3 linked regions of the Drosophila melanogaster genome follow. The protein of the gene in region 1 interacts with the protein of each later gene in a pairwise test. Each region holds a gene or a part of one and is shown in the gene's direction. Other genes may lie near its edges.

Region 1 (7,897 bases):
ATTTCTGGCCGTGTTCTCCTTGCCGCGCTCCCGTTTCTGCAGCTGCAGCTCCCTTTCGGCCATTCCCGCCTTCACCCAATAATGGGTCATCACATCCACCAAGGTGATGCGGCCCTTGCTTTCCTTGCGAAGCAGCTGCAAAGATGAAATCCCTGTTCAATAAATGGATCTCAAAGGAAACATCTTCCAACTCACCCCGCCAATCAATTCCTTGCAGCCCTTGGACAAATGCGATGGGTAGGAGATCTCCATGCGCCGGATCTTGCTGTAGGTGCTCTCCGTGCTGTTCGACTCGAAGGGCGGACAGCCGACGACGAACTCGTAGCACAGAATGCCCAGGCACCACTGGTCCACCGAGTCGTCGTAGGAGTTCCCATCCACCATCTCCGGCGGCAGATAGTCCAGGGTGCCGCACAGAGTCCTGCGCTTGTTGTTCGGCGTGTGCGCCGACCAACCAAAGTCGGCCAGCTTAAGGTCGTCCGTGCTGGTTAGCAGAATGTTCTCCGGCTTCAGATCCCGATGGATCACGTTGTTCAGGTGACAGTAGTTGAGGGCATTCGCCACTTGGTAGGTGTACTTCGCAGACCGCGGTTCATCGAATCGATGATTGGGTGCGCCACGCAGGTGCTTGAACAGCTCGCCCTCGGACGCAATTTCCAGGGCCAGATAGATGCGGCTCTCGTCGTGGAACCAAGTGAGCAGGCGCAGGATGTGCGGGTGCTTCAGTCGCGACTGGATCTCGATCTCGCGTAGAACCTGACGCTGCACGCAGCCCTTGCGCAGCTCCTCTTTGAACATCACCTTCATGGCCACCAGATAGTGCGAGTGGCGCTCCCGCGCCAAGTAGACACGTCCAAATTTGCCGCGTCCCAAGTGGGCGCCCATCTCAAAGTCCCGGGGACTCCAATCGTATCTGGAGGGAGCAGATTAAGTACGGATTGATACATTAGCTTATTGCTTGTACGTACGGCTGTCCGTATGCGTCGTGGGACATCATCTTGAGGCACATATTCTTGATCGGCTCCTGGTGCTCCTCGGGCACCTTGGCCAGCAGGTGCGGCAGGTGGTTGCGGTTGGCGTGCTTCGCGCGGGAAAGCGTCATGGCGCTGACTTGTTTATAATATTATGATTTTTAAGTAAATTAATTATTTTAAGTTGTATTTTCTATAAGCGTCCCTTTTGTTTGCGCGTTTTTTTCGAATGCTGAGATTAGTGTGACCGCATGCTAGAATCGAGTTATTCTGTGACTCTCAGTGAAGCAGTTAAGTCACTGTATTTTTAAATTCGGTCAACGTATAATAAAATATTTTCATGTTTCTTAAATAAAAATTAATCTTCTAGTTTTGTTCTTATATTGTGCATAGTTATTATAATATACGCTTCTCACCCGTAGGAGAATAGTTTGAGTGAAGGGCATAGAAAACTGTTTAATTATTATAAACCATAGCTACCAGTGCTCAAATCATATCAGATGTTTAATAGATTTATATTATTAGTTGTCTAAATTTATTTAAATATACAATATCAATAATATTTATATGTATATATAAATAAAAATGTTTTGCATAATATAAGTCTCGAATACCTCTAACTAACCATTGAAAATGAGCTGCAAAAAATCCTTTGGATTTCCCGACTATTCGCAATCTGGCCACACTCGCCATTAGTCATTTTTTACACAATAAACGTAAATTAAGCGAATTTGCAAGCGCTATTCGGAAGTTTTTAGGCTAATCGAAAAGATATAAGCAGCCCAAAAGAGATTTGGAAAAAAGCGAAAAGGTCTACGCAGGAGGAAGTACACCAAAAGCGTGCTTTCAGTCGCCGTGACGCACCGAAAATCGATTGGAGAGGAAAAACAATAGGGAAAACAGACAAAGATCAACTGATTTGGATTTATTGACCCCAGGGCAGCGCAGATTATTGGCAGATAGCCGAGCGAGCGGTTTGGTCATAAAGATGGGAATCTTTGGGCAGTCGTCGCCATTCGACGCCGACGTGGGTGAGTTACCACTTATCGTTAAGCTGTTGTGTTGGCCGATTGGACAAGCCGATGTTCCAATTGGACTGCACAACGGTCCAATATGCGTTTCATAGTTTTCTATTCTTATCTGGGGTCTAAAAACCCGCACACCACACCATTTTCCCCTGTTTTCCCTATGAACCCGATCCCCCGATTGAGCAGACAACAAAGAAAGTCATGTGAGATGCTGTGCGCAGCTCTGCGTCGTTCGTTGAACTTCTTATTGGAGTTGTTAGATGGCAGTCGCTGACCTTGAGTGACGTAGCACCCGCAGCCCCTCACACCCCCTCCGTTTACGCAGCCAACCCCCTCGCCATCCCTTAATGCAATTTAGTTAGTTTCCGATTGTATTGATTTTCTTTAGCTGCAATCAGTTTTCGAAGAAGCTTATCTTTGTTTTGCTGTGACTCAGAATATAAATTTCTATTTGACTGATAAGCTAATGCGGTTCATGCCTTTCTTGTTTTATAGAAAAGGCCACCAGCGAAACTAATACCAACGACAACTGGTCTCTGATTTTGGATGTATGCGACAAGGTAACGACCAATCCCCGCCTGGCCAAGGATTGCCTGAAGGCGGTGATGCGCCGCATGGGCCACACCGATCCTCATGTGGTGATGCAGGCGATTACGCTTTTGGACGCCCTGTCCAACAACTGCGGAAAACCGCTCCATTTGGAGGTGGCTTCACGGGATTTCGAGACGGAGTTCCGCCGCCTGTTGGCCAAAGCACAGCCAAAGGTTTCACTGGTGAGTACAAACAGTTTTAACTCACTTATTTCATTTCTAATTCCAATTATGATTCACAGAAAATGCGCCAAGTGCTGAAGAACTGGGCTGAAAACGACTATAAGAACGATCGAGAGCTCGACTTGATACCCGCACTCTATGCCAAGCTGCGCCAAGAGGGATATGATTTCAAGAATCTTGGCGATAAGACTAGCAAGACTGTTGCCGAAAAGGCCGCCGCCCTGCCCAAAGATCCGAATGTGGTCAGCAGCCAGCAGGAAGAGGATGACATCGCCAAGGCCATCGAATTGTCGCTGAAGGAGAACAAGGGCAGTCCAAAGACTGGGAGTGTAGCAAGTACCGGCACCGCCAGTGCCTATCCCTCATTGTATCCATCTTTCGCTGGAACCGGCTCGAGTGCACCGAGCGCCGAAGCCAGTTCCGCACCAGCGCCAGAGCCGAGAAAGGTTCGAGCTCTGTACGATTTCGAAGCTGCCGAGGAAAACGAATTGACCTTCTTTGCCGGCGAGATCATTCATGTGCTGGATGATAGTGATCCAAACTGGTGGAAGGGATACAATCAACGCGGCGAGGGTCTCTTCCCCTCGAACTTTGTCACTGCCGATCTGTCCGTCGATCCCGAGCGGCTGGACATCAATCAGCAGCATAAGTCGGCCGCCGCAGCCGGGCAACGAGAGTTGGATTCCGCTGCGGCACTGCAGCAAAAGACTGAAGCGGCAGCAGCTGCCGCCGCAGCTCAGCCTGTGGAGATCGACGAGTCAAAGATCGACCGGCTGCTGCATTTGCTGCACGAGGCGAATCCCGAAGATCCCTCGCAGGACAGCGACGAAATGCTGCAGCTGGAGCAGGAGGTCCATCAGATGGGACCGCTGATCGATGCCGAGCTGGAACGCGTCGACCGCAAGCACGCTCAACTGACGCAGTTGTCCAGCGACCTCGTCGACGCCATTAATCTGTACCATACCTTGATGCGGGATGACCGTGCTGCGGCTGGACATTTTGCCGCCGCTGCTGGCGGCTTTATGCCTGGACTTGCTGGTTTCCCGGGTGCCGCTCTGTACGGTGCTCCAGGTTATCCTGCAGCGGGTGGATTCCCACCGGCCCAAAATTATCCGGGCATGCACTCGATGCCATATGGCCCCGTACCAAATCCTCCCACTTCTGCTCCATCTCAGGCACCTGGAGCTCCTGGTGGCTATCTGGGTCAACCGCAGGGGCAGGTGCCACTGCCCTATCAGAACGGACATGCCGCACAGATGAACTGTTAGTACAAAGGATTAAAATACTTATTATATTTACCTATAATAACATTTTCAATCGTCTTTCCAGCGCTGCCAGCCCATTTGACTCAACCCACTGGCACTGCACCCATGCCCCAGCCAATCTACACTCAGCCGACTCCCGTGACCACCCAACAGCAGCAGCAGCCACTTCCACAGCACCCTCAACAGCCGCCACAGCAGCAAGGCCAGCAGCCCCCACAGCATCCCCAGAACAGCTACCACATCGACCCCCAGTCACAGTACGCCCAAGTTCCGCCCGCAGTCACACAAATCCAGCAGCCGCAGCAGCCACCGGCTCCGCACGCTTACATGTCGCCGCAGCATCAGCAGGCACCGCCACCACAGGGATACCAGCCAGGACCAAATCTTTATGGACCGAACGGATCGCCGGCCGTCGTCAACCCGCAGAGCTACATGTCCCCACAGCAGCAGCAGCAACAACACCCACCACCACACGATCAGTTTAGTCAGCTGCATCAGCAGATGGCCGCCATGTCCATGGCTGGCGGACCGCCAGTTGGGGCGCCCGGCTATCACATGCAGAACGATGCTGTCAAGAACAACATTCCTATCTACCAGCAGCAGCGGTAAGACCGCTGCACTAAAACAGAGACCTTCACTTGGTTCGCTTTGAATTGCCCGAGCAACTTTAAGCTTTGTCTTCATTCTGACAAAAGGATGTCATCGAGTATGTTAGTTTTGGCCAACTTGCCGAGAAACGGAAGTTGTCAAATCTCTGCTATGTACATTTTGAGAAGAGCAATTGTCAGTGAACCAAATATGTCGACTATCCTTTAAAATAACGAAAGAAGCCAAATTAATATCAAGTATACCCTTACGAGTTTTCGTTTTTTGTGTTTATATTTGGTCCAACGAAATGATATATTTTTCTGGAAGTAAGGCAATACCAGTCGAAAAAGATATATATACCATATAAATAATCTGTATTCAACAGCACGTATAACTTTGTATTTAGTGCAGGGGAGATAACTATTATGTATTATGTTTATTGTACGGATTATGATAAATCTAACGAAACGAATCACATTCATTAAAATCATAAAAATATACTAAGTAAACACAATGTCTTTGAAAATTGCAAGTCAAAAGCTTACGGCTACCCTTCTCAAATATTTTCAGCACTAGCAATCGATGTGGAATAATTTTCAAGAAAATTTTGGAAATCAGATGAAGTTTTTAGAAATTTTTTTAGTGATAAAGAAAGCAGATTATTTGTTTATTTCTCACTTGAATTGTTTGTTTATTTTTATGATATTTATTTAAATTTTCTTATCGATGCTATAAAACATGAAGGTAAAATTCTTTATGTAGGCTTCAGAAAGAGTAATCTGCATTGCTTTATAAACTGAAACAATTCAGCACGAGTTTTGGATTCGCACCCCTTTTAAACTTAACATGCTTAGAGCTCCATTCAACTGCGCTCATCCCCTTTTCGGAGAATACCTCCCTCCGCTCGTGTTAGTGCGCTTTTCCGATGAGATTCCAATATATTCAGACAAGCTTTGCCACATGCCACTGTCTCGCAATCCGGCAAACATGCAACAATTTAGCAAAATTCCATCCGGCATTCGGTGGCACAAATATCCTGTGAAATAAACTGTCAAAACGGGGCAGACAGACAGTATCTCAGCCTGGTAAATAGAAAATGCCAATGAATGCGGAGTGTCACCTGGAGTGAAAGAACGACGAGCCAGGAGACGGGCGAGAGCAGGCTATGCAAATATTTGCTGATTGTTGATTTCTATGGGCTGGCAAGTGGGTGGTTGTGGGTGGTGTTGTCTAGCTGCAAAAATGTCAACAAATGCATAGGTATTTTTTAAATTAATTGATTTTGCTGGCCTTGCACGCTTACATCGAATGGGCTGGGAAACGGGAAAATTTGGGCGAACTGGCTGGGGTCGTGGGAAAATCCTGCCCAGCCGAACACCTGAACCTTGTTCGTCCTGTGCCCTTTTTTTTTTTTTTTTTTATTATTTGACTTACGGTAGGAAAATTAAAATCTTCTAAAGATACCACCTACCGTCCGTAGGTGGCATGCACGATTCATAAGCCCTATTGGAATTATGCCTACGTACTAAAACAAAAACCTCCGCGTGCTCTACAGTCCTTGCTCGCTCACCGGGACTGCCAGTCAAGGTATGACTTCGGTGAGCAGGATGTGAGGCCAGGTCGCACTCCCTTCCTTCAGTGTAGTCCATGGGGGCTCCTCCTTCCACCCTTTAGTCGCCTTTTACGACGAGCCGGGGACGCTGAGGATGAATTCTTCGCCCGCCGTCACCCAGGACACCAGTTTGGGCTTAGACATCCACTCTGTTGGCCATCTCGTCTGATCGGACACGCTTCATCATATTAATGATAATGCTGTGTCCCCGCTCCCAAGCCCCCCTGTTCGCCATCATAGCCGCGAACAAGCCACTAGGGCTGAACGGGGAACCTGACAGCGTCTTTAGCTGCTCTCTCTCCGCCGTGAACCTGGAGCAGTGCATTAGCACATGTTCTGCTGTTTCTTCACCGTCGACGCAGAACAAGCATTGGGCTGACTCTACGTGACGGAACCGGAGTAGATAGGCCCGGAAGCAGCCATGGTCCGTGAGGAACTGGGTTAGGTGGTAGTCCAAGCATTTGTGTTGGCACTCTGCCCAAACCGTCATCTCTGGGATGAGCTGATAGGTCCACCTCCCCCGTCGCGACGTTTGCCATCTACTCTGCCATTCACCTAATAGCCACTCGTGTGCCTCTTGCCTGGAAGCGCCACTCCGCATTAGGCTGAGAGCCTTGATCTCCAGATCAATCGGCGGCAGGCCTGCCAGCGCTAGCGCCGCGTCTTCGGATATGGTCCTGAAACCTCTAATGAGCCTCAGAGACATTGACCGTAGCACCGAACGAGCTCCTTTCAGGTATGAGACCCTGCCAGTGGCATTGCTCCAGACTGGTGCAGCGTATAGTAGCGAAGCCTTTGCTACTGACACCAGCAGTTTCCTGGCCGGGTGTCTTGGGCCTCCGACGTTGGGCATAAGCCTCGCCAACGAAGAGGCTGTGATTGCTGCCTTCTTGCTGGCGTGGCTCGCGTGGTCCTTGAACGATAGTCTGCGATCTATCATTACCCCCAGGTACTTTAGGGACTCTTGAGAGGTCACCTGTGTACCCTTGACGGAGACCAGCATGTTCTCCACCTTTTTCCTGCTGCTTAGTAGGACTGCTTCGGTCTTGTGAGCCGCTATTGCTAGCCCGGCTTTCTCGAGCCAGCGGATGGCAGCACCGATCGTAGAGTTGCATTTGTCTTCCAACCCTGCGATTGTTTTCGAGACAGCTGTGATTGCCACATCGTCAGCAAAACAATGCAGCTCTACTCCTACGGGCCTGTTGATGCCCAAGATCCCATCGTACATAATGTTCCATAGGATTGGTCCAAGTACCGATCCTTGGGGAACACCTGCCGAAACTCGGTATCTTTTTGGGCCATCTTCCGTATCGTACCATAGGATCGTACCATTCCGTATCGTCCTGTGCCCTTGGGCCCGTGCAATTGTGTGCTGTTGTGTTGCCTTTGTGGAGCAGTTTCCGTTCGGTTCGTTGTCAACTTTGATGGCATTTTGCTCAGTTTCGTTCTCGATTTGATTATTCCGCCGGGTGATTTGCATTTTGTGCCGCTGCATCTGTATCCTTCAAGTCGGATGGCATTAATCAGAAACAACTGAACTGGCTCAAGGACGACCCTTCAACCCACCCACCGCCTCTCGTGCTTCCCGCTTCCTTCTTTATCATTATTTTTTTTTTTTTTTGTAACACTTGGCAATAAAATCAAATGATGCGGGCATCGT
Region 2 (9,674 bases), on another chromosome or scaffold:
GGCTGGGCCCGCATTTTCGCTTTTTGTTTTGGCAAGCGGCTTCAGGTCGTTGATCCACCGATTTTCTATTTATACCGACGAATGCAGGCCCGCACAATAATCTTGGAAATTTGCCCAGTCCCAGTTTCAGTTCCAGATCGCAGATTCCAGGTCGAGACTCGAAGTGAGTCCAAGTCGTGAGTTCCAAGCAGGCACGTTGGCCGAATTGGAGATCTTGTGGTCTTTCTCTGACTGTTTTGGCTGGCCGACTGGCCTGTTGCCAATCGACTTAGCATAAATTCGCACCTCTCGGCTGTTTATGTTTACCTGCTTTGACTTTGGCTCGGATTTGGTATTGGAATCGGTTTCGCACCGGTTTGTTTGTTTGCTCCGCCAGATCCGCCGAATTCCGAGTGACTCCGTCACTCCGCCGCCGCATCCGTGCGTATTTCAGCAGCTGACGCACTGGTTTGCCTAGACCCAACTACATACGTGTACGTGGTCCACTCATCCATCCGTGCCGTGCCTGACCTTTGCAGCTGCCGATCTTGTTTGCTATGGTTATGTCCGTCTACATCTGGGCGATCGATCGATTGATTGCCCATCGCATGAATGGGCCAGTTTCTCATTGGGAGCTCGTCTGTGCTTTGGACCATTTCCAAGTGAAATCTACATATGAAAGTTAGCCTGCTGCTACTCGCCTCCGGCAATTGCGCCCAGCGATATCTCGCACTTTTGAGGCCGTTGGTAATTGTTTTCGCTACTCTTGGCTCGAACGGCCCAAACAGACAATATGCTTATAATGTTTATAAATATTCAAAAAAATAAACCAGTTGTCTATCGCTGAATGGAATTTTGCAGGCTCCAATCGATTGAAAGTCAACAAACAAACATTCGTAGTTGCTAGAATTGTCTAGAAATTTGGATAAGATAGCATTGTTTTGTTTTTACCAAGAATAGTTGCTATTTAAGGGTTCTTTTATTAAATTTGTTATGTGATTACTAAAAAATGCACTAAAATAGTATAGTATGCATAGTATAGTATAGGTATTAACTTTTTAAGCATCTTCCAGATTCCAAAATAGTATACTATACATAGTATACTATAGGTATTAATTTTTTAAGCATCTTCCAGATTCTAGGAAATATTTGTGAGCTTCAGATGATCAGTAGACCTCTCCCACATCAGTGAACACCACATCGAGTTGGTCGTTATAAAAAACTCTTTATTCCATACAAGTATTTTATCACAATAACTTAAGCTCTAGATGGGTGGTGAGTGCTGGACGGACACACCCAGGAAAGTACAAAGTAGATGGATTCAATGACAGAAACTACATAAATATTAGGTAGAAGAAGGGACGGTTAGTCGCATGGATTGTGATGTTTGTGTGTGAGTTTGGGTGTGGAGAATGCTGCCTTTGGTTCGCTGGATTGCAGAGCTCGAGGGGAAGCAGCCGCCTTTGGCAACACATCGGTCGCGGAGGACCGATCGCTATCCGGATCGGAATGCGTATGCGGATGCGGAGAGCCCTACATGCCCTCGCAGGTGGACATGCAGTCCTTGTAGCTGGCGAAGTTGTTCTCGTTGCCGTCACAGCCGCCGAACTTGAACTCCACGCACTTCTTCTGCTCCGGATCGTAGCGCCAACGGGGGATCAGGGCGCGGCAGACGCCCTTGCGTGCCGGCATGAGGCAGAACTGCTCCGGATGGGTGTTGCGCCCGGTATTGGCCACATCGTCCAGCGAGATGGCGTCAAAGAAGTCGCTCACGTCGTCGTAGAGGTCCATGGGAAACGCCTCGCTCCATCTGATCCCCGCCAGCAGGATCAGCACCACTGCCACTCCAACGTACTCTTTCAGTTGTCCGCGCATTTTGTGTACTTGATTTAGCTTCGTATTTAATTCACTTGATCACTTGGCGATTGTCTTCACGCAACTGTTGGCGCTGCAGTCCAGCTTTTGGATTTATATGGTGCCACTTTGTAGTCCGAAGCGGGCGAAGGGAAGCGAATACTAGACAATACTCCCATCTAAGAGCCAGCAGAGCTTTCCGTTCGACTCCAACGCTCTTTGGTTACTCTTTCGAAGAGTCCGCTTTTGTACTGAAAATCCAAGTGTAGATATAACTACTTTTGTTTATTTACTGTTGTGAGCATTATCATCGTAAAACATACAACCATATTTTTTGTTTTTGTTATTTTATGGAAAAACAACCTGTTTGATTTTCTATATGGAGTAGACAAATAAATTTTTTCTTAAACTACAAATTTAAAGCTATTTTCCATTGGGTTTCATTGAAATAGTTTTTATATTTCAATTAGAAATATAGAATGCCTATTTCTTAGTTTTGAAATTGAAAATTAAATGTTTTATGGAAAAGATTACTGTTATCACTATTTATGGATTTTTTTAAAATTCCCGCCAATTGCATGCTATCGATATCAGTGGGTGGTGCAATCGGTAATCATATCAGGCATTTACCATTCCTAATTTGTGGTAGTTGGTGAAATCTGGCGCGTCTTTGTTTAAATCGTAAATTATTACATAAATTTAGTTGGGTATGGCACGCGAATCAATTCTAACGTGGATGCGGAGTCTGGGTGAGAAGGCGCGCTTTGATGAGCTGGAACTGCTCATTCAAAACACTCCAATAGAAAAGGTTGGACCCATAAGGCGGAAGGCAATATAAATCTTAATTGATAAACATTGCTTGATAGTTAAAGGAAACCCTTAAATCCACAATGACACGCAGCGAGGGCATAACGTATTGGAACTACCTTCTCCGTGGCTTCAATCCGGAGAGCAAGGATGCGCTAGCCAAGCGATTCGAATGTGTCCGCAGCTTCATGGACGGACTGAGCAGCACGGAACTGAGCTACAAACAGACTTTCGATCTGATCACGCGCCTGTCGCAGGACCTGGCCACCTTTCCGTCCGAGCAGCTGGCCTGGATCGTGGAGCACTGCATGGACGGGATCCGACAAGGAGACGCCAAGTGCGTCGGCTGGAAGGATTTGCTGCCGGACGCGCTGTCGCTGCTTTTGGCCAGACCGCGGTTTCTTCTGAACGGCATATCCATAGATGGAATGGAGTTCAGGGACACTACCGTAAGGAGCATTGCCACCATGCAATGGCCAGCCTCAATCCTCACGCCAATTGCCGACATGTTCAAGTGGGTGACCACCCTTAAATTAACCACAATTTAACCACACAACTCATACAATCCCCCTAGGACCATGAATCTTAGCAGTGGCGAAATTGTGACAGTACTCAACAAATTCTCTGGCGCCCTGCAGGAGCTATCTCCCATGGAACTCCCAGCGCTGTGCTTCCAGCTCTTTTCGATGTGCAGCACTGCTTCCCAGTTGATCATTCCGTTGCTGGCCCTGGAGAAGTATTTCCATCGCAACTACTACAAGCGGCTCTTCTCAGACATGTGTAGCAACTCAACGAACTTGGATAGCATTGGTGAGCCTGCACCATATAGAAGACTATATTCCTAGAAATTGACAGCATCTGATCTTTAGACTTGTTCTCGGACAAGGAACTAAGGGAGGCCGAAGAGACTATCCTGCATCACTTGAACTACTGTACTATGTACAAACTTACTGAAAAACATTTGGCCATAATGCTGAGAGTAAGCAGGTCCCAAATCAATCGATCGCTTAGTAACTTAACTAACCATGTTTCAGAACTTTCTGCACATGCCCGATGTGATCCTAACTCCGTTTATGCTTAGCGCCATTATCTCGATGACCAGCATTAATCGCGATCCAGAGTCCGCTAGAATATCTCATTCCATTTTGCTACCTTTTTTGCGCAATGTGATCAAAAACAACGAGGAAGAGCGAACGTTAGCCGACTACTCCGTGTGGTATCGGGATACATTGCAACGCAAGCAAGTCGATTTGCAGCAGGTCCTCACGGTGCTCATTGATCAGAACAAAGACGGCAAGGATGTGATAACTCCTGGGCTGGTTCATCTCGTATTTTACTTGCTGAAATCGCAATCGCCCAAGATGCACACATTGGCCATCACATTTCTAACCAAGTTCATTCGCAAGCGATTCATTTTTGGACAAGGCATCATAAAGCTTATTTCAGAGTGGATGATAGTATACCAGGAACAAAATCAGTTCTCGGGTAGGTCAAGCAAAATGTTCTTAATAATTCTATGCAACAAGAATACATATTTGCAGAATGCCTCACACTTCTAAGTGTGGCTGATACGTATACGGTCTCCGAGTGCATGAAACCAATTCAATCTGTTTTGGAGCACATGCAATGGGCAAGTTAGTCCAATGGCATAATTGTTCTTTAAGCTAACTCCGTTGTAAATATTTTAGCTGTCTGGTGAGCAGTCCATGCGCATGATGAACTTTATTCTACCTTTGCTAAAGATCTCTAATCGCGTCCGTGATGCGCTAATTGATGTACTTTGCAAAGCAATGAGCTCGAGGTGGGTCTAATTACCTGTTCGTGGTACTGTATTTACTTTTTATTCTGCACTTTATATTTTAGTGGAATTCAAAAACGGCGAATGGCGATTTATGGGTTCTGCATGATCCTCAAACAACTAAACAACAGCAATGCTGTGCGCCAGACCTCCAGCGCCACCAGTTTCTGCACTCAACACAGTATCTCTGGCTACTCCATAATGACCCAGAACACACTGGGAAGTCGTAGTAATCCTCAAAGAAATTTCGACATGCTCACGTTGGAAATTATTGGAATGTTGCGAAACTGCTTGCAACAACAATTCGATATACGGTGCTCCCTGTATGAAAGTGAGTCGAATGAAATCAAATAATACAACTTCTAATAATGCATTTCAAATAGATCTTCAGAGAGCAGTGGAGCTCAATGCTAAACTAGTGCCACATGTGCTGCAAGTCATTGACTGGCACTTTCGCAGCTTCTTCGACACCCCCTCTGCAGAGGATGCTGGTGACGATCTAGACACAGTATTCCGCATTCGCTACGATCAATTGGTTAGCTCTAGCGATGATCAACACATGGAGATTCAGCTTAAAGACAACCTGGGCAAGTTGATTCAGTTCGTGGCCAACTGCTTGGCTGTTTTCGATCGAGCTCCATCGGGCTACGACACTCGTGAGATGAATCGGCTCATGAGTTTCTGTGTGGATCGTATGGTGGCAAACAGATTACCCCTGGAAGAGATAGTGAGCAAGATTATTACTTTTAAATTTCAATAAACTAATGCCAACTGATTTCAGACGCCGCCAGCCACACATCTAAAATGTGCCCTCGTTCTGCAGCAACTGAATATCATTGAAGGAATTATTTGCCACTTATTGCTCAAATCCAAGCCACAAAACAATGCTGTTTGTCAAATATTGCCTCTTTTTAATCAGCATTGTAAGCTTTTGGAGAGTCTTAAGGCATTATCGGATGCATCCAAGAAAGCCCATAAACAGTTGAAGCAAACCGCCAAGAATAATAGCACATCAACGTGCAATTTGACACTGAACGGCGTCCCGGTGAAGACCATGTGTACACAGCCTGATAATATTTGGGACTTGGCCATATTGGATAAGCTGCTCCATCTACTTCTTGAGTTAGTAACCTTGACGTTAATCCTTTCTACTTCTTAAAACTGTTTTCAATTTTCCATTTAGTGACGTCGTAGCCTTTGCTGCTCCAGAAAAAACAGTGCTCTTGCGCTCCAACGAGCCCCTCGTCCGGTATGTTTTATCCGTAACGGCCAGCAGAGTGGAGTCTATACGCCTGGAGCCCGATTATAAGCAGTTGGCCTACAGTAAACGCACCTTTAAGCAATTGACGGACATTACAAAGGTCATTTACGAGCGCTGCATTCAACGCTTGCCGGAGCTGTGGAAAAATTTCGACATGCAGAGCGCCGCCCTAGCCACTCAGTGTTTTTCTGAATGCCTAAAAACAGCTCATGAAACGTACTCAAAGAAGTTCGAAGATTTTGTCAAGTCATTTGGTAAGTTAAGTCATGCTAAGTATATGAGGATAATCTAAACTATGGTAAAACTTTTAGATTTGGCATCTATAAAGGGAAGCAGAAACAAGGAAGTGGTTTACACAATTCAGGATGTTTTAGACGACTTTATGACGGAGTACGGCACTGATGATTCGATTTGTAAAAATGAGTTCGTTTCCAAATTGCCTGTTTACCTCTTGGAGTCGCTTGAAATTCTTTTGGATCACATTGACTACCAGGATCGTGCTGCCACCGAATCGTACACTTGGCTGCTAAATTTTTGCAGCAAAAACGAGATTCTCAACAGTGAAATGGGCCTGGTGCACAGAATGCTATTCGTTCAGCGTCAAAAGACCCACTTAGGTCCCTTCTTCGACAGTGTTGCTCGGCAATTGGGTCACGTACTGGGCGTACAAAATGAAGACGCTCCCTCAGAATCTGTGGAGCTAACTCTAAAGTCCATAAGTACAGTGACCATCGAGAGTTGCCTACAGCATCTGTATGCTGCCATCCAAAAGCAGCTGAACGATGTGGACTACTTTGTGACGAAAGCCAACAATCTAAACTACAAATGCCAAGTGGTTCCCGAAATTGACCAGATATATTGGCGGGGCAACCTGGATTCCATGGATCGTTCCATTTGCACACAAATAATCCACATAAGTCGCACTTTGCTGGTGCTCACAAACGTTTGTATTCCTCTAGGTTCTTTGATGGACGGTCTTATGAAGTTGTTGATTCAGCACTACACTTGTTTGAAAAGCCTGACCAAGCACTACATATCGAGCTACACATCAGATACGTCCATTGAGAACATTAAAAGCACCAAGTGAGTCCATCTAGTCGTAGATTTAATGGATATCTAATCTGCATTTTATTCTCCAACAGATTTGAACTTCTGCTACGTGCAGTTGGTAAACAACTTCCGGCGAATATTTACGAGCTCATCACGTACATAGAAGCTAATACCCTGGATGAGGAAGCGCAGCAGCATACAAAAAAGCGGAAGGTCCAGGCAGAACGTGCTAAAGTTCTGAGAGAGACTCGGCTAATTCCCAAGGTTATAATGGTTATCGAGGACTTCAATAAGCACATTATTCTCCTGTCCAAAAAGACCAAAAGCAAGAATAGACTTACGGACTACCTCCACTTGGGAACCATGCGCGACTTCGATATCAAGTCGACGGATTTGAGGGCAGCTATAGAGCGTAGTATCTCGGATGGCCGCAACATTTCTACCGAAGACAGTAATGCTGAGGATCGGGATGAGGATGAGGATGAAAATGAGAATGTAGAGGAAGACGATGACGCACAGTCCACCACGTATCCAGAGGACTTGGAGGAGAAGGAAGATGAATGCTTAGTCATAGAGAAGAAGGAAGAAAGGCGCAGGAGGCGTGCACCTAGCAGTGAAGCAGAGGATCCACAACCCAAACGAAAAAGAGGCCGCAAAGCTGCAGAACAGCTGGAAGCTGAAGATGAAGAGCAAGTCGAGGAAGAGCAGCCTGAAACGACTTTAAAATTAAGGCGAAACAAAAAAGTGGAGCCAAAAACCAAAAGGAGTGTGGCCATTAAAAAACCCGAGGAGCAGCCATCCCATGAGAGTCGTACCAGTAAAAGGTCAAAAGGTCCAGCGGATAAGCAAACAGCGGAGCCAGCCAAAGTGGATCTTTGCGTTCCCGAAGTGCCCGCTGAGAAGAAGAAACCACAACCTAGTCGTAGACTGGGAATACCTCGTACATTAAGGAAATGATGTTTTGTTAAAAAAAAGTATATTAAAAAGTATATGTATTTAAATCATGCCAGTCCATTGCTTATTCAAAAATGGTTGCGATTATCGCAATTACTTAATTTTCATTATGTGCTGTATTGCTGTTTTCTAGAATTTCCACATGTTCAAAAAGAAAAATTGTTCAATGTTTTTGTGAATCTTGTTCATTTAATATCATTGGAATTTTAGCTACCTAATCTCTGTAAATTAAAAGGCTGCTTCCCATTATTTATTAGTACTGCAAATAAAAAATATATATAAGTATATTCATAAGCGAAACTTGATAAATTAAACAATGTACTCACTTGCAGCGTGTGCCCATGTCCAGAAACAATAACACTTCCGTCATTGCCCACCGAGACAGTTCGTCCATCCGGACGCTTCCACACCGACACACTATCATCCCAAATTCCTGCTTGATCGTCACGAGCCACGAAGTTTTCTCCCTGGACGCGGCCATCTTTGATGCTGCGGCTGTCCCTTTCAACAATCAGTCCTTCAAAGCCCTTTGCCAAGGTCGCTCCACAGGAAACTGGGGACTACGCCTGCCCCTTTGGACAAAAAATCCTCCGGAACCCACATCCACAGTGCGACCAGGACGCTCCACATGGAACTGAGGACTACGTCTGCTCCTTTGGACGACAAATCCTCCAGAACCAACATCCACAGTGCGACCACTTCGCTCCACATGAAACTGGGGATTGCGAAGTCCCGCAGGCTGCACAGTGGAGTAGGCGGGCTGTACAGCAGCTAGACCTGGTCCTCTAAGCGTATGTGTTCCTTAAAATAGTATCCATAATAAGATTTATGCACTGCCTCGAACCATGATTCTTAGCCACCTGGTCCTCCAGCGTCTTTTTTGTGCACATACGTGATCCCCTGCTCATCCGTATAGACGTGATCTGCTGGCGACGATGCGTGATGGAACTGACCACCTACTCCTGGCACCTTGTATACGCCATCGTTCTGCCCCCGAATGTAGACTTGATTGCCGGGTGTTCCGAAAACGTGAGGCCCATCATGTCCGTCGTATGTCCGCTGGAGATCGGCAGCTGAGGGAGCAATGGAATCGTCGATTAGTCTCCGTTTGGGCGAGACCATGGTAAAGGGATTTTTCACCAACGCACAAAACAGCGCAAGCGATCGGCACGAGAAGTCCAAGCAAATGCATTGTCATCTATGTTCCCTGAGTGAATGGTGAGCTCTAACAACTAACTGGCTTGACTTGCTCGTCGTGGTATTTATAAGTAGGTGCGCAGTAGTCCAACATCAGGTTATTCATCAAATTGGCGACAGCATCTCAAAAATTCACAAACGCCGCTGGTGATAGGGGAGGGCGAATGAGAATTTCAAAGGAATTGAATCGATTGACGTGCACGATCCCTGAACACATCTGTTGCCCGCTTTTGCCTATTAGCCCGATTGTGGATTTGATAAGCAACTTAGATTCGCATCAACGATCAATAAAGCATCACTGATAAGAAATACAACTTTTATGCTTTGTTTTGATTTTGTTATAAAGATAGACAAATACAACATGAAATACCAGGAGCTTCGTAGCAAATAGCAACGCATTAAAACATAATAAAATTGGGAGAAGCCGGGATTTTTTCAGATCGGTGTAGCGTTTGTACTGACGATAACGTTGATTATGAGTTTCGTCGAATTGGCATCGGGTTTGGCGACGAATCAGTCCTCTGGAACCTTCCACTGCAGCTGCTTTCCGCGTTCGTAAAGATTCTTGAGAGCGTTGGCAAACTTCTTCTCCTCCTGCAGCTTCAAATAGTGCTTGTAGAGCTGCAGAGTGGTCCGTGCATCTTCGATGGAGTCGTGCGTCTCGGACTGAATCTTAGTACCTTTGGCATTAGGAAAACCCAATTAGATACAATTCCAAATCGAAGAAAACCCCTATACAAACCCAAGAAATGCCAGGCTAGAAATCTTAGGGAA
Region 3 (6,797 bases), on another chromosome or scaffold:
AAAAATTGTGCGAGTGGCAGTTTTAGGGCTTTAGAGTGTGCGAGGCAACAATTTTTTTTTGCAAATCGATAGAAATTTACAATATTAATAATAATGTAAAAAAAATCAACACGTGTTTTTAAAAGTGTGTGTGCGCCTTTGTCCCTAGAATCTGTATGCTGAATCTTAACCTAGCTTTCAATCTAGCTTTCATAGTTCCTGAGATCTCGACGTTCATACGGACTCGGCTATTGGTCCCTGATCAAGAATATAAATACTTCATATGGTCGGAAACGCTCCCTTCTGTCTGTTATTTTTTAAAGAATATTTACGAATATAACAAATATTCAAGAATAACGAATTTTTTAATATTAACATTAGCAGTATAATTTTAAATAATTCAAATACTGTAAGCATATATAATTTCCAAATGAAAAATTCTTAAGCCTCAATGCATTTTCATATATAATTATACAACTGCTTATACTTACCTGCGATTTTCGAGAACGGTGCAACGTCGTGGTCGGATGGGACTTTAACGTGTGGGCCGCTCTAGTGTGGTCGCCACACACAACTCCCAAGGGCAAATTAAATCTCGAAACATTCGCTAGGCTGGACGTTCAACAGTGCCGTTGCAGGATTAATTATCGACCTCACGTTCATAAGCAGTCCATTCGCTCGCTTCTCCTGTTGGGGTATCAAGGAGGTGGTCACAGTCAGTGACCACGAGGCGATCCAGGTCGAAATAGGCACAAAGGCAATCGAGAGCAGGGCTAACACGCAGTAACCTAAGGCCTACCGACAGAACACCATGAGTCTAGAAGAGTCCGCCGGCATTCTCCATTACCTGACGGTCAACGAGGCGAACTTGTGATCGCAGCAGCGGATAAAATAGTAGCGAGGGTGGAGGAGGCCTGCGGCCAAAGCATGCGAATGAGGAAAACGAACCGAAGGCACCACACCCTGGTTTTCTGGTGGAGCGAGGATATTGCCTTGCAGCGCATCATCAGCCTACGCGCAACGAGACTCGTACAAAGAGCTCGTGGCACCACGCGTCTGGAAGCATGCCATACGGAATACAAGGTCACAAAGAATTCACCGAAGAAAACGATTAGAGCCAGCAATCGTGAATGCTTTCTGAAAGTCTGCGTCGCAGCAGAAAGCGATCCATCTGCTCTGGAAAACATCTTTAACGTTCTGTTCCTGTTCGGTCTGCCATTCCCAATTCCCAGATCGGGCCAAGCGGAGACGAATTGCGGCCTGTCACGGAGCCCGAGATCCTAGCGGCTGAGAGGAGTCTTAAAACCAAAACGGTACCACACCCGATCGCATCCCAAGCAAACTACGAGAAACAGTGCTATGTTTGTTACCGCCTAAATTTGAAGGTTTTTTTTTTGTTTTACCAATTATTTTTAAAATATCCATGAGATCTGTTACTAATTTTTTTATTTCGATTGAAAATCATTGTAGTATTTAAGTTTAGTGAGTAAAATAATGAGAAAGTGTCAGAAAATAGAGAAAAGCTGGGACAAACACGAAATGTGCTTATGATGCTATTATTGTTACCGCAACTGTAATAAAGAGAGTTTCTTGACAGTCTTAAAAGCGTGTAAACTTGGAATTTGTTGTTTATTTTCTTGTATATTTAATATTTTTAATTTGTTTTTTGATTTATAAGTAAAATAAATATTGTTTGATTATATTTTATAAAAAAAATTGCGTTTAATTAAGCAAAAAACCCTTTATTTTTAGCTTTAAAGTCAAAAATTCAACTTATTTTACAGTGTGTAAACAGTTTCTTGACAAACTGTATGTGATATGTGATTCTAGAGACATAGGCGCCGCGCAAGTTTGTTAACCCATGTTGCCATGTGCAATCCAACGCACACATACCGGACAAAACTGCCACGTCTACACTTATGTAAAATGTTTTATTATTCTTTCATATTTTTATTTTCTTTTAAATTTCTATGAATTTGCCAGAAAACATTTTGCCATGACCACTCTAACGCTAACAATTTCAAAATGTTTTGAAATTTTTTGATTTTTGTATACAATTTCTATTAATTCGCGGCCACGGCCCTTCTTACACCTTCCAAACCGGTCAAGACCGAACTTTTGATCAATTTGAAACAATTTTGTTCTTATTTTATATCCCAGTATTTAACGATATCCCAGAAAAATGATGAATGAATTTCGTGTTCCCATTTTCACGAGCTGACTAACGGTTATCTGATTGACTCGACAATACCATTCTCTCTTCATTTGAAATTATATGTGGTATATCATTGGTATAACATTGATATTATGTTAATATGGTTTTTGCCGCCGTAAGAATAGGGTATAAGCTATTAAGTTGCTGTTCACAGTGTTCAATATTTGAGTATGTAAATATTTGATTTTCTCTTGTAAATCGTATTAACAGCTGAGTGGATGTTTGAAAATAATTAAATCAGGTTGCTTTTATAACTTAATGCAATTCATATTGATATTTTACTGATATTCTCTTTCTTAAAGGTTTAATCATGTAAACAACATCACAGTGTCTTTACTTAAGGGTGGCTTATTGATTTTAGACACATGTTATCAACGTTGGATTTTAATGCATGTTGAACAAACACGAATAAATATGCAGTCTCAAGGACAGAGCCATCAACTGCCGTCCGCGGCCCATATATTATTAGATCAAAATCCGAATTCAACAGGCAGTAACCTAGTCGTAAAACAAAATGACATTCAATCTCTTTCATCAGTCGGTAAGAAATAACCATACATTTATATATGTATGTACATACGTTTGTAATTGATTTTTTTAAAGAATACATCTAGTTAAATACTTTATACATTAATGCAAATGAATAAGTTTGACAGCGAAGACAACCACAATTAAATTAAGAAAAATCAATAAATCAAACAATTGGTTATGCCTGGCCCGAGATAGATATGTGTCTAATGTGTCTCATATTAACAACATATTAAGAGATGCATATGGTGTACGCATCTAAAAATTCACACAACATAAAAATCAGTGTTCAGTGTCTGAGCTTATTTCGTGTAGTTAAATTAATTTTTATGTTGGCATTGCTTCGATGAAAGATACCAGAAAAATGTAAACGCAATATTTTTGAAAGAATTATTGACATGGTTAAAAAACAGACGATTTCCGTATTCTAAATGTGCATCCCTCATTAAAGCCGTATCTTGTAAGGGGTATCTGGTAGTCGAGAAACTCGTCTATAATGTTATCTCTCACTCCATCTAAAATTAAATTTTTTATTGTAATTTTTTTTTTTTCTGGCTTAAAGCTTACTTTGCACTTAAATTTTTTTTCGTTCTGCTGTAGCTTGCACGTTTTTCCTTTTTTAAATTTTTGACAACATATATTACATATATGTACATATATTATTTGGTATTCATTGAAAAGTTCTTCGGTGCTTTTCGGCCTTCATTCAATACAGTATTTTCTTTTAGGGAGAAGCTTCCGCTTCTCCGCGAAGTTGGATCAATCTCGGATATTAAAATTAAAAAATTGTTAGGTTTAAAATGGCCATTTATTGAATATTAACATACTGCACAAAATAAGCTGCGGCATAAAAAACACCTTTTTGTTTTCTAAAACGATTAGAAAATTGCTTTTTTTTTATATAACAAATTTAAGAATCCGGTGCTGAAATACCTTATTGGTTTGAAACCTCTAAACTGTACGAACAAACTACAGCAGACAACTTCGGATGTGTCCTTTGAAATTTCAAGGGTTCGTTACCCTGCATATCCGTTGGTTAATCTGCACCAATTGAAGTGCTTAACACTAGTCTAATTTGTTTAAACTGTATTATTTCTAGAATATCATTGACTGCGTAGTGAGAGATCTTGAAAACTCATTGACTCGGCCCATTTTAGGGTAGTCCTGAATCTGGATGTGTATGATCTATACCTGTATTTCAATCTGCATACATATGCATGTGTCTGCAGTTCTCAGTGTGTGTCTCAATCATCTTTCCTTGCTGTACCTGAGGAATTATCTCTTGAGCATAGTATCTAGTTGCCTTCTCTAAAGTATGAAGCTTATACAGATTACTTCCTCTGATAATTGCACGAAATAATATTCAGTGTGAAGAAGGAAGTTTAAAAATAAGTTTTGTTTTCATTTTATTATTTGCCTTGCTATGTTTTATTGATTTAAAAATCTGTTGCGGAACTCGACCAAAGGGTACGGCCAAAGACACCAGAATAACAAGATGCGTAACGCCATTCGATGTGGCTCTAGAGCACTATGGGGCATTTGGCCTGTTTTTTTTACAATAATGTGTTTTTCACAAGTATGCAAATTTGAAGTATTTTAGTATTAATACATTGGAAATACGTTAAACTGTTATGATACAGCCCGCAAAAGTTAATTTTACAATGCACCGTTATAATAACAGCTGTTAAAGTCGGCTGTTGCGAGCATATATCACGTGGCTGCTTTGCGCGCAAAATTTAGCTTAACTTTCAAAGTGTTAAAATTTAAAAAGAAGAAGAAGGAGAGTATAATTTGAAATAGATAATCAATCTTTAGGTTTTTATTATGTGTTGTTATTAATATATTGTTTATTGTGTGCGCCTATTTCTAACAATTTGTACATTTAGCAAGTGGTGTCAACATGTAGTTGTTTGAAAAAATTTTAAACTTTGAATAGAGCTACAACAATTTGTTCAAATTTGTTCAGTAAGTGTTTATATCCATGTTGTAGTGTGTTCAATTTCTAACTCATATCAGGTAGTCTCTATGTGCGTTTTTTGCGGTTTCTTGAGAAATTTCATTTTTTAGGGAGCAATATCTCGATTTCCAATGCTGCCCTGCTGGAAGTGTGGCGCAAGCAAAAGGTTGTTCGTCAAAAGGAAAATTCTATTTGCACTTTTATCAGTGGGCATATTTCTGATAGCAAGCTAGACTTTAATGAACGATTAACGAATAATATTAATAACGAATGATTTCAGTCAATCTTTTGCGAAATTGGAGAAAATGCAATCGAAAAATAAATGAATTTTTGAAAGTTTTTCAAATTGGTTAGAAGAACACCTAGTCCTGAAGGTAAAGGAGAAAAATAAAAAGGAAAGGAAATTAGCTGGACTCCCGAAAACGTCATATTATTTAAAAAATTTGAGTGGCCGAAGACAGCAAGCAGATGAACTCGTAAGGGCGCAGAATCACAACGAATGTCTTTTGGTTCAAGCTGTACGGAAGTGCTGCCTGCGGGATCTTGCAGCCATACTTAAAATTCTTTTGTTGAACCCAGCCAAAGCAAAAACTATTAGTAGCTTCGCAGATGTCTTTTACAGAGCAATGGATACTACGGATCCCATAATATCATCAATAAATTTAAAGAGGCGAAAACATAAGCGACTATCTCTTCCACCAGAAGTCATTCAAATGTTAGCTTGCGAATTTGAACCTGATAAAAATTCTTCAGACTCTGCCGATTGTGAAGAGGAAGACGGTTATGAATTATACAATATTGAAATTAAAAATAAACTTTAAAAATATATTATTAAAAAAAATTATAATATAATATATTAAAAAAAAAAAAAATTGGGGCGGAGTTGGGGCACGGCCACTTTTTCAAAATATTCCTGGAGGCATGTGTAACGCATAAAAAAAAATTCATCCAAATATCTCCAATAGTTTAGGAGGTATTAATTTTTGTAAAAAAAAACAGGCCAAATGCCCCATAGTGTAGAGGTGGCTCCAGGCTCTCTCGAATTTTAGTTCGAGAGCAAAAGAGCTCTTTTCTACGCATACAGTGATAGCAGACAACTGTATGTGTGCACACGTATGCTCATGCATTGTAAATTTGACAAAATATGCCCTTCACCTTAGAAGTTCATAGATATTATCTATCTATATTATAGATCTATATTATTTTTATATATATATTATTTTTGATCTATATATCTATATTATTTTTGATCAATTGGCATCATGCGGAAAATTCTTGTTTTGCTTGCCTTAACGTCATTATTATTTAAATATAGCTTAGAAATAGTTATAGCCGAATCATAATGTCACAAAATAAATTTCAAAAATGACTATATTAGAATATTTGTCATTAGAGTATTCAGCTTGCGACGTGTGAAAAATTAATAAGGCATTGTTGAGTGCTTGTGTAAGCAATTTAATGTCTTCTTTTTGGAAAATTTATGTTTTAAATTACAGTAGTTATCATACTTCCTTTGCATTTGCCTTAATTATTTAGTATATTTATTAAGTCCTTCGACTTAATATGATTTATGTAAATGATCGATTTATATTATTTAAAATGCACATTAGATTCAGTTGTTTAGTTGCAGTTTTTTTTGTTTTATTCCAATTTGATATTTTTAAACAGCGCGCAATTTCATCATATTGCTACGAAATTGGCCAAAACTCCCCAAATATGTAAATTCGTTTCTTTGATCAGAATTGATTTCGGCCCGAAAATCGTCTTCTAGCACAACACGCACACATATACGCGTTCTCGTCTCTTGTTTTAACTCTCACAAACAAGCAAATTCTATTTTCAGATTGCTTACGCTCTCATCGTAAGCGAGCGGACAGAGAGCAATTTTGGCCGTCACCAAATTAGGTTCTCCGTTAGTTTATGTGTACATAAGAGCTCAACATCAAAATCAAAAATGTTAAAAAATCAAAAATTTGACCTTTTCAATTTTTTCTAATTAAATTTTTTTACCAAATATTATAAAAAAACATTTGCCCAACCAATATTTGTTTTTGTCGTTTGTCCGCCTTTAAAAAACTTTAAATTTTTTTTTTCGTTTGCCTCGCTTGAATATAACTT

Evidence for each region. Proteins that work in one complex are often made in the same cells at the same time.
Region 2: the proteins of Stam (region 1) and FANCI interact in a two-hybrid assay, tested with the Drosophila melanogaster proteins (one large-scale study listed by BioGRID).
Region 3: the proteins of Stam (region 1) and sxc interact in a two-hybrid assay, tested with the Drosophila melanogaster proteins (one large-scale study listed by BioGRID).

What each region holds. Positions count from the first base shown.
Region 1 is NT_033779.5:10,856,876-10,864,772, forward strand, and holds Stam (signal transducing adaptor molecule), read left to right. Parts: upstream 1-1,660; 5' UTR 1,661-1,959; coding exon 1,960-2,002; intron 2,003-2,494; coding exon 2,495-2,772; intron 2,773-2,831; coding exon 2,832-4,035; intron 4,036-4,101; coding exon 4,102-4,646; 3' UTR 4,647-5,131; downstream 5,132-7,897. Other genes in the region: aurB (aurora B), read right to left, coding at 1-135, 196-913, 969-1,102.
Region 2 is NT_033778.4:8,932,649-8,942,322, reverse strand, and holds FANCI (fanconi anemia complementation group I), read left to right. Parts: upstream 1-2,533; 5' UTR 2,534-2,569; coding exon 2,570-2,641; intron 2,642-2,699; coding exon 2,700-3,154; intron 3,155-3,214; coding exon 3,215-3,450; intron 3,451-3,509; coding exon 3,510-3,619; intron 3,620-3,674; coding exon 3,675-4,125; intron 4,126-4,181; coding exon 4,182-4,270; intron 4,271-4,328; coding exon 4,329-4,441; intron 4,442-4,503; coding exon 4,504-4,769; intron 4,770-4,821; coding exon 4,822-5,165; intron 5,166-5,219; coding exon 5,220-5,560; intron 5,561-5,621; coding exon 5,622-5,953; intron 5,954-6,010; coding exon 6,011-6,782; intron 6,783-6,841; coding exon 6,842-7,706; 3' UTR 7,707-7,747; downstream 7,748-9,674. Other genes in the region: CG13748 (uncharacterized protein), read right to left, coding at 1,513-1,854; PAN2 (Poly(A)-binding protein-dependent poly(A) ribonuclease 2), read right to left, coding at 9,414-9,580, 9,643-9,674.
Region 3 is NT_033778.4:5,304,918-5,311,714, forward strand, and holds the start of sxc (super sex combs), read left to right. Parts: upstream 1-2,370; 5' UTR 2,371-2,581; coding exon 2,582-2,735; intron 2,736-6,797.